Nothobranchius furzeri: one gene and its partner. The protein of the gene in region 1 interacts with the protein of each later gene in a biochemical or structural test. Links are inferred from orthologs where the notes say so. Each region holds a gene or a part of one and is shown on either strand. Other genes may lie near its edges.

Region 1 (4,390 bases):
AGAGGCTCCGTCTGCAGTGGTTCCGCCTGTCCAAGAGGCTCTTTCCCCGGCCCAGCTGGTCAGAGAGTCCTCGTCTTCGCTTGCAGAGGCCATGTCTGCCGCAGGGTCTACGTCTGCTGCAGAGTCTACATCTTCAGAGTCTACGCCATCAGATTCCAGGTCTGCAGTGTCCTTGCCAGCAGCGTCTCCAGAGTCCCCTCTTCAGCCTCCAGAGTCCCCTCTTCAGCCTCCAGTGTCCCCTCTTCAGCCTCCATTGTCCCCTCTTCAGCCTCCATTGTCCCCTCTTCAGCCTCCAGGATCCCCTCTTCAGCCTCCAGAGTCCCCTCTTCAGCCTCCCATTTCTCCGTCCCTTCCTCCAGAGTCTCCGTCCCTTCCTCCAGAGTCTACCTCCCCTCCAGAGTCTACGTCCCCCTGCCATCCTCCAGAGTCCCTCCATCGTCCTCCTCTAGAGTCCCTCCATCATCCTCCTCTAGAGTCCCTCCATCGTCCTCCTCCAGAGCCCCTCCATCGTCCTCCTCCGGAGTCCCTTCACAGTCCTTCTCCAAAGGCTTTGTTCCCTTGTCCTTCTCCAAGGTCTTCGTCCCCTCGTCCTCCTCCGGTGTCTTTGGCGTCCCATCTGTCCCCCAGAGCCAGATCCCGGCTCCTGGTTCCCCGTCGCCGGCCCCCCAGACTCTCCAGGTTTTTCGGCTCCAGTTCCCTCCGGGGTTTCTCTGGGTTTTTTGGTGGGATTTTATGTTTTCTGGCCCTCCTCGCCCGCCACCTTTGGTTGGTCTTGTGTTTTGCCCCCTGGGGTTTTTAAACCTGAATATAAGACTCTAGAAGAAATGGGCTGTGATGCCTGTGTCGCCAAAGGTTATGAAAGATTCTTTCACTGTCCTGTGAAGAAAAATACTCCTTGTCTTTTCAAGTAAATTTAATGTGAGTTTATGACTCTGCAACAACAACATTTCTCCACACAGAAAGGTAGCAGCTGGGATTCAAACCTGCAGCTTTTTGCTGTGAGGCAACAGTGCTACCATGTAGCTTTTACATTATATTTAGAGAAAACATTATTCATTGAAAGCTACTGAAAGGTTAAAAAGCCTTTTAATCCATTAAAACTTTTTTCATAACACCTTAAATCTTTTGTGAGTTTCATATTTCAGGGTTAAGTTCCCACAGTTTGTCTCATAAATGTGGCTCTTAGAAGGTTAAGACGTATTTAAACAGTTGACTCAGTGATCATATCTAAAGTTTGTTTCGTAATCACTTGTTTGCAAATGAGGACACTGATCTCCAGTATAGATAAGGAAGCTGTTCTAGCTAGATCACAAAGAACTCATCAATGAAACAAAGGTCCAATCTGTGATTTAATCATGTGGTTCGTTGTCTCTGATCCTGGCCTCCAGGTGCAGTCATAGAGAGTTTGAAAACCTCAGGATCTCAGGTGATATGGTTCTTCTTGGTGTCTTTAAGCCATGGTAAGCTGGGACGGTGAACAGATGAGTGGGGAGCAGCTGGGATGATAGTTGGTTCCTCCAAAAAAGGATAAAGGTGGAACGCTCCCTCAGAGTTGGAGGTGAGTCTTTGACAGCAAGACAATATAAAAAGTATTAAAAACGGATCAAAGTGACATTAAACAAGAATGATACATAACCAGAAATTGTATAAGTTTTTAGTAAAGGGAATTTTTTACAAGAGAGTTTTACTTCTTGGAAATGGGGGTAAACAAAGTTGAGCAAGATCGAGGTCCTCAAAGATGATGTGGAAGGTGGAAAACCCATTTATTTCGTCTCTCAGAAAATGGTTTTCATTGTTTTTGTTTTTTTGTTGTTAAATCACCATTACTGGTGCAAGAACTGAACATGATAATCAATGACATGAGTTCATTGTTTCATTGGACAGTTGCTTGTTCCAGAATCTTTCATAAAATGGATTTTGACCTGTTGTTGTTAGCTTTTCCTGTCAGGCCAATCATTGACTAGTAGCTGTCCTTTCTGTAAGTACCTAATAGAAGTAGAGGGACATCTGAGTTCCAGTCGATGATGAGCTGCTGGTGGACTGTCAACAGCATGGACCCGTTCAAGGCAACGTTTCTTCTGGGAGCCTTTCTTTGCTCTGGTAAGATGCAATAACACGTATAAAAGGTGCTTATAAACATATCTGTAATTATGCTTGCTGTAGAAAAAGACTGTCTAATCTGAAGAGATTCCAACCTAAAGATCACAAAATAACCTGGAATCTGACTTGAAAAAACTTGACATCTTTTGAATGTTCTAATGTTAATTTTGTAAATGACCACGTACTATTCTTGAATTCAGTTACAAGTTCTGTTCAACTGATTCAGAATTATTGTGGGTTGACCTGAATGGAAAGAAACGTTTGGTTCACAAATTGATGACCACACCTCACATGTTGATTAATATTCTATCTGTCACCAGTCGGGGGTACCGAGGTGGACGGCTACGCTAAAACTGAGGGGGCGTGGGTGCTTTCGCTGAACAAAAGACAGTATACAGTCAACACTGTGGCTGAGTGTGCCACCAAATGTGACACTGAAACATCTTTCCTCTGCAAGTAAGTTGATGCTTCTTTCTCCGATGTCTTCCATCTACACTGTTAATCAAAGCCTGACTTGGTATTTACTTCTGCAGGGCATTTACATATGTAGAGAAGGACCAGGAATGTTGGACAGCAGCATCAAACTCAAAAACGGAGCTTGTCCTACGCCGGCGAAGCTCAGCTTTATATGAAAAAAACAGCAAGTCCATTTTTATAAAGTTTTTCAACTCTTTTCCTCTAATTTGTAATGGTATTTTGTTGTTTTAGTGACACAGTAGTTAATGTTTAGCTCGTGGTGTACCAGCAGTGGTTTTTGGACTGGCTGCAAACAAAGCAGAGATGAATTACAAGTTAAACACATTTGTTTTGGTTTTCAGAATAAAAGCCTTGTGTTTGATCAGTCAGGTGAGTTTGTATAATCACTGCTTCTTTTTTGTCTTTTCTAGAATATCTTTTGGAGTGTGTGAATGGAACAGGAACAGATTACAGAGGAACAAAGAGCAGAACAAAATCAGGAACGCTGTGTCAGAGATGGGCTTCAAGATTCCCACACAAGCCCAAGTAGGTATCACTTCACATTTGATTCCTAAATTATTTTCATCAATTTTGTAACTTTTGTAAACATTTCCGTCGCAGCTACACACCAGACAAAAATCCACTTGCAGATTTGGACTCCAACTTCTGCAGAAACCCTGACGGGGACATAAATGGACCCTGGTGTTATACCACTGACCCAAATACTCGCTGGGAGTCCTGCAACATACCCAGCTGTACTGGTGAGATTCATGTATCTATAACAGTTGATACTGAGTTGATTCCAAACTTCTGAAGACAACCATCTTCATCAAGATTCGACAGCTGTTGTTTGAAAGTTTTGTGGAAGGCCAACCAATGAAAGCATTGATTAAACTACAAGTGTACGGTGACCAAAACAAAAGCAGTAAAACTGGTACAGTGAACTACAAAAACACTGAAACTAGAAAGCTAACAGAAGTTCAATAGGTGATTGAGCAGAAAACTAGAAGTGGCTGGTGACCAGTGGTGGTGAGGGATTGTGGCATTACAAAAGGAAAGGTAACACAGAATTTCTAGTTACAAGAAAACAATACTAAGTTTGCATAATGTGCCACACAAGGTAAAATGTAAGATGAAAACTAAAGCAGTTAAACTAGTACAAGGAACTACAAAAAGTAAAAATAAACTAGGGGGAAAAAACTGAGATAATGTAAACCACAACAGTAAAACTAGTAAAGGGAACCACACATCTGCCTGTGAGCTACAACTAAAAAACTCTGTTGTGAAAGCTGGGAAGGAATGAGGGAGAAAACACATGAGCGCAGACTCAGACACAACATTAGTCCACAAGTAGAAGGTGGGAGGAGCTGGGATCCCCCTCGCAGCTGAGAGAGCATACAGCATCTAGTGTGCGTACTACTGCTTACGGGTGTGAAGGAGAGGAATGGAGAGTGCAATGAGTCCTTGAAGATTCCATGGTCACGCCCAGATCACCAGTTGACCAACCAGATACGTCACAATTCCAAACCAGGATTGAAGGAGGAAAGGTTTCAAAGCATCTGTCAGCATTCACGCTGTGGGAGATTTCCTCAGTCTCTGCTGGTCTCAAGCTCCTCCAAACACCCCAATAATGAGGTATAATTCCCTTCATACCATGCAGTAACTTCCTCGATGATGGCATCCATCTTGTGTGCCAACACAGGAATCGCATCTGGCTTGCAATTCATCTTGAACTACGACAGAGCAAATTTTGTATAGCTTTTCTTTTTGTTTTAAAATTGGAGTGCTACAGCGATTACCCTTTTGCCCTTGCCTTTTCTTAATTGCTGAATCA
Region 2 (4,286 bases), on another chromosome or scaffold:
TAAAAAAATTTGACTGATTTGGGGTGTTCTTTCGGAAATTATAGCAAACAAACCTCTAATATCAATAAATTTAATAAATCTAATTTCCTGAATTTGCAAGAAGGAATATTTTACCAGAACACTATTATTTCTAATACCTGGGCTTCAAGTTCATTATCAGCAAAACAGCTTAGCTGATGTTTGGCATCTTCCATCACATCAACATCCACCATGTGCAAGTCATCCAGGTAAAACACACCTCTGGAGGTAAAGTTTGGGTCGAATCGAGCTTTCCATTCTCCTGCAAAGAAACAAAGAAAAATCTTCTCATTTCAGTTACATAAAGTCACAACAATGACTGTTTATCTGAACTCAAGGAAATAGTTTTTTTATGTGGATATTCCTAGAATGACTCTGTAAGATTCCTTTCAGTCACCTTTAAAGTGGACAGCATTGATGAGCATGAGGAGCAGATTGGGTGGTAAAGTAAACAGGAAGTCCGTCATCCTTCCATTTGTTGCGTTCTCTACCCATTCATTAATCTGCTGAAGGCTCTCCAAGACTGCTGGTTCTGAGCCGTAAAATAGCTGAGATTCACTCACAAATTTGTGCTTTGCTTCAAACCCTGAAACACAAAGGTACACAAAGGTACACACAGCGTACCGCGTACAGCGTTGAGGGTCAAGTCTAGATTCTCATGAAGAAAAGCATCCATCCATCCATCCATCCATCCATTTTCATCCACTTATCCCGGGTCAGTCGCGGGGAAGCAGCCTAAGCAGAGAGGCCCAGACTTCCCTTTCCCCAGCCACTTGGGCCAGCTCCTCCAGGGCAATCCCAAGGCATTCCCTGGCCAACTGAGAGACATAGTCCCTCCAGCGTGTCCTGGGTCTTTTTTAGGTCTCCTCCTGGTTGGACGTGCCTGGAAAACCTCACCAGGAAGGTGCCCAGGAGGCATCCTAACTAGATGCCCGAGCCACCTCAACTGGCTTCTCTTGATGTGGAGAAGCAGTGGGTCTACTCCGAGCCTCTCCCAGATGACCAAGCTTCTCACCCTATCTCTAAGGGAGAACCCAGACACCCTGCGGAGAAAGCTAATTTCGGCTGCTTGTATCTGTGATCTTGTTCTTTCAGTCACTACCCAAGCCCGTGACCATAAGTGAGGGTAGGAACGTAGAGCAACCAGTAAATCAAGAGCGTCGCCTTCCGACTCAGCTCTCTCTTCACCACGGCAGACCGGTACAACGTCACTGCAGACGCAGCACCAATCCGCTTATCGATCTAGTGCGCTCTTTCCCTCACTCGTGAACAAGACCCGAAACACTTAAACTCCTCCAATTTATCAGTGCAGTTATAAATCAATGAAATTAGGCAAAACATTTCTTAGGAAGTAACCTTGACGCAGAAATATGCGGGTGGCAATTTGCAGGTCTCTCTTTTTAAGCTGTGCTAAAACATCACGCAGAGACCGATGGTAACAAGGAACAGCGTTCTCGTGGAGGTGATGCATCAGCAGCTCTTCAGTCTCATTTTTTGCACCTTTGAAAAGACAAAAATAAAGCAGCAGGAATCATTTCATGAGGAAAATGGCAATATCAGTTTTAAAAATGCAAAGAATGATAAATTGTTAATAAAATCAAATGAATATTGTGTAAATGAAGGCCTCTGTAGTGAGTGCATACCTAAAGCCAGTTGAGAGAGGGCTAGAGATATGCTTAAAGGAGATATGATGATGTTTGGGTGTTCTGGTGTGGTCTCCAGGTTTTGTAGCAGCTGAACACCCAGGTTCTGAACAGCAGCGGCGATGGCCTGTTGGGATTTGGGGCTCTGGCTGGCAGACTGACAATCACCGGTTTCGTTTACGTCTAGCGACGTTTTGTTCGAGGTAAGTATGGCTGCCAGTTCTTTGGTTGCTACATCTGTGGAAGCTAAAGGTTCTGACGTAGAACTTTCTCCTTCCTGCAGCAAGGATTAGAACAATCTAAATCCAAAACCCAAATACTATAAGAGGAAAAAGAAAATAGTGTCATTTTGACCCCTACTTCTATGGGTTGACTGGGAATCAAAGGGACGAGAGGGGTTGACTGATCTTCTGTCACCTCAGCTTTCTGTTGATCACAAGATTGTAATAAAACACCATTAAAGTACTTTACATTCAGCAAATACTCCAGTGATTTAGCCTTATTACGTAAAGGTAACTCATTGTTTTACAGTGGCTCCTTGGCTGCAGAGACAAATCAACAGGAGTGTCAGGCAGAGGTCCATGTCCTTTATACGTCACTAGAAGACAAAATTAGGCATAATGATAATTATTCTAAGCAAGACATCTTCTCACTTTGGTACATTTTATAGAAAATTTTACTTTCACAAAAGCAAAAGTATTCGCCTCCTGTTGGTGTTCAGGAGGGGAACGGATAATTTACTTCAATTTTGCCAGCTGATCTTCCAAAACCCACTTTCCAAAGCAGGAATTCTGACTAGAATAACGTAATTACGTCAAAAGTGCATTAAAGCTTGTTATAGAACCATAACCTGTTAAACAGACTTCACACAACCACGAAAAAAAGCTCATTATTTCAATTCTTAACAAAATTCCAAACATTTCCAGAGAATTTATTCAAAAATATACAGACTTACCTTTTATTTGAACTACAAAAATCTTGCTGCCGTGTCCAAAAAAGGAGAACCTACTGTACTGTGAATGGCTGAATTCCTGAGAGTAAAAGATTGGCATTTGCTCAGCAAACAGTTAAATATCAACTTGCATTGATCGACGCCTCATTTTGACCACTATGTGTTTGTAAATGCAGCTACTCAGACTCCTCCAGAGTTAAATAGGCTATTTTGACACACGTAGTATGTCAGTGAGATGGGAACATCATTAGAAAAACTTAATCTCTGACAGGAACAATGATAACTTGCTTACAAGAGTTTGATTAATCCAACCACAAACAAAAGCAACTTGGTGACTCGAGATTGAGAAACAAACTCCCACGCTTCTCAGAAAACCGGAATTAGGACATGTCGGCTGGACAAAAAGGCAAATAGTTAAATATTGTGTCCCAAGATGATCTCAAGTTGAATTTGCAACTAAAACCAATTGATCAACGCTTAAAAGAAATATTTAAAAGTCCACTAATTAGATTACTTTCTCAACACAAAGATAAACTTGTATCTTGGAAATATCACATGACTGCAATCTGCAAACACAAAGGGGACTTTGTACAATCTGAACCCAAGTGATTAAGCCAACATTAGGAGGCTAAATGGAGTCACAGCGTATCACATGAAACAACACACAGAAAAGACGGAAGCAACTTTTATTAAACATGTTAATAATTTAAAGTCTTTGCCCATTTCTCTTCAAGTGTTTGCCATTTTATGCTCCAATTTGGACTTCAAGTTCACCAAAAATGAGAAAATAAAAATTCTAAACATTCTTTTATCACATTTATTTGAACTTTAGGCTAATTATTAGAAAAAAGCCCAACTTTGAAAAACGCCATACAAAAAAGCTGAGCTTCCAAAGTTAGATGTTAAGGTTTAAAAACTGGAATTGATTTAAGAAACAAAACTTCTGCTGTTTATTTTATTTACATTACACAAAGAAGCATATATATTTCCTCTATAGACATAGTTTTCCTAATATTCCTACGTGGTTACACATAAATGTTAAAATACAAACGTTGTTTCACTTGGCATCGACTGTTCAGTTTTTGGAGGTAAACTAAAAGCTGCTGTGAAACAAACAAGATTAAATGATGAGTTGACCTAAAGATGGTCCTGATGAAGGTTTCAAGTCATTTATTTGGGGGGGTGGGGGAGAGAAACAAATATTCAGTATTTTAAATCTGAGCGTTACAATTCAGACTTTTCTTTGTGCAGTTGATTAAAGGTTGTGCATTTGTACTCTTTGTTTGGCGTGGCAGCTCTAGGCGAACTACCATCACAACAAGTTTATCGTTGAGCACAATCAAACATCTCGCTGTAGACATGGAGTAACGATTACAGAAATGGTTTGGTGTACAAATACTGCATAGTTTCCTCAGTGCACTTGATTAACATTTACTCATCATTATGAAGGGACAATGGAAGGCGAGCTTGATGTGTTTTTGGTTTCATTAAGCAACTACCGGTATTTGAAAAAGTGAAAAGACTAGCTAAAACCTTCCTGAGCGTATCTTCTGGTTTTGATCGGAATAGCTGAACTAGGCAGAACAATAAATGTATAGACAAGAGTTTTCCCATTATGTCATTCACGTATAAAGGCGCAGGATTTTAATTCCAGTGTGCATGAAACGTCTACA

Evidence for each region.
Region 2: the proteins of plg (region 1) and serpinf2b form a complex in vitro, tested with the Homo sapiens proteins (2 studies listed by BioGRID, with this or other methods). The link is inferred for Nothobranchius furzeri from reciprocal best matches to the Homo sapiens genes PLG and SERPINF2.

What each region holds. Positions count from the first base shown.
Region 1 is NC_091742.1:9,663,662-9,668,051, reverse strand, and holds the start of plg (plasminogen), read left to right. Parts: upstream 1-1,414; 5' UTR 1,415-1,558; intron 1,559-1,983; 5' UTR 1,984-2,021; coding exon 2,022-2,100; intron 2,101-2,420; coding exon 2,421-2,556; intron 2,557-2,633; coding exon 2,634-2,740; intron 2,741-2,987; coding exon 2,988-3,102; intron 3,103-3,177; coding exon 3,178-3,317; intron 3,318-4,390. UniProt on the Homo sapiens protein: Plasmin dissolves the fibrin of blood clots and acts as a proteolytic factor in a variety of other processes including embryonic development, tissue remodeling, tumor invasion, and inflammation. In ovulation, weakens the walls of the Graafian follicle.
Region 2 is NC_091753.1:47,653,952-47,658,237, reverse strand, and holds the start of serpinf2b (serpin peptidase inhibitor, clade F (alpha-2 antiplasmin, pigment epithelium derived factor), member 2b), read right to left. Parts: upstream 2,863-4,286; 5' UTR 2,617-2,862; intron 2,514-2,616; exon of another isoform or gene 2,403-2,513; intron 2,260-2,402; 5' UTR 2,245-2,259; coding exon 2,191-2,244; intron 2,088-2,190; coding exon 2,022-2,087; intron 1,939-2,021; coding exon 1,662-1,938; intron 1,519-1,661; coding exon 1,375-1,518; intron 605-1,374; coding exon 416-604; intron 281-415; coding exon 138-280; intron 1-137.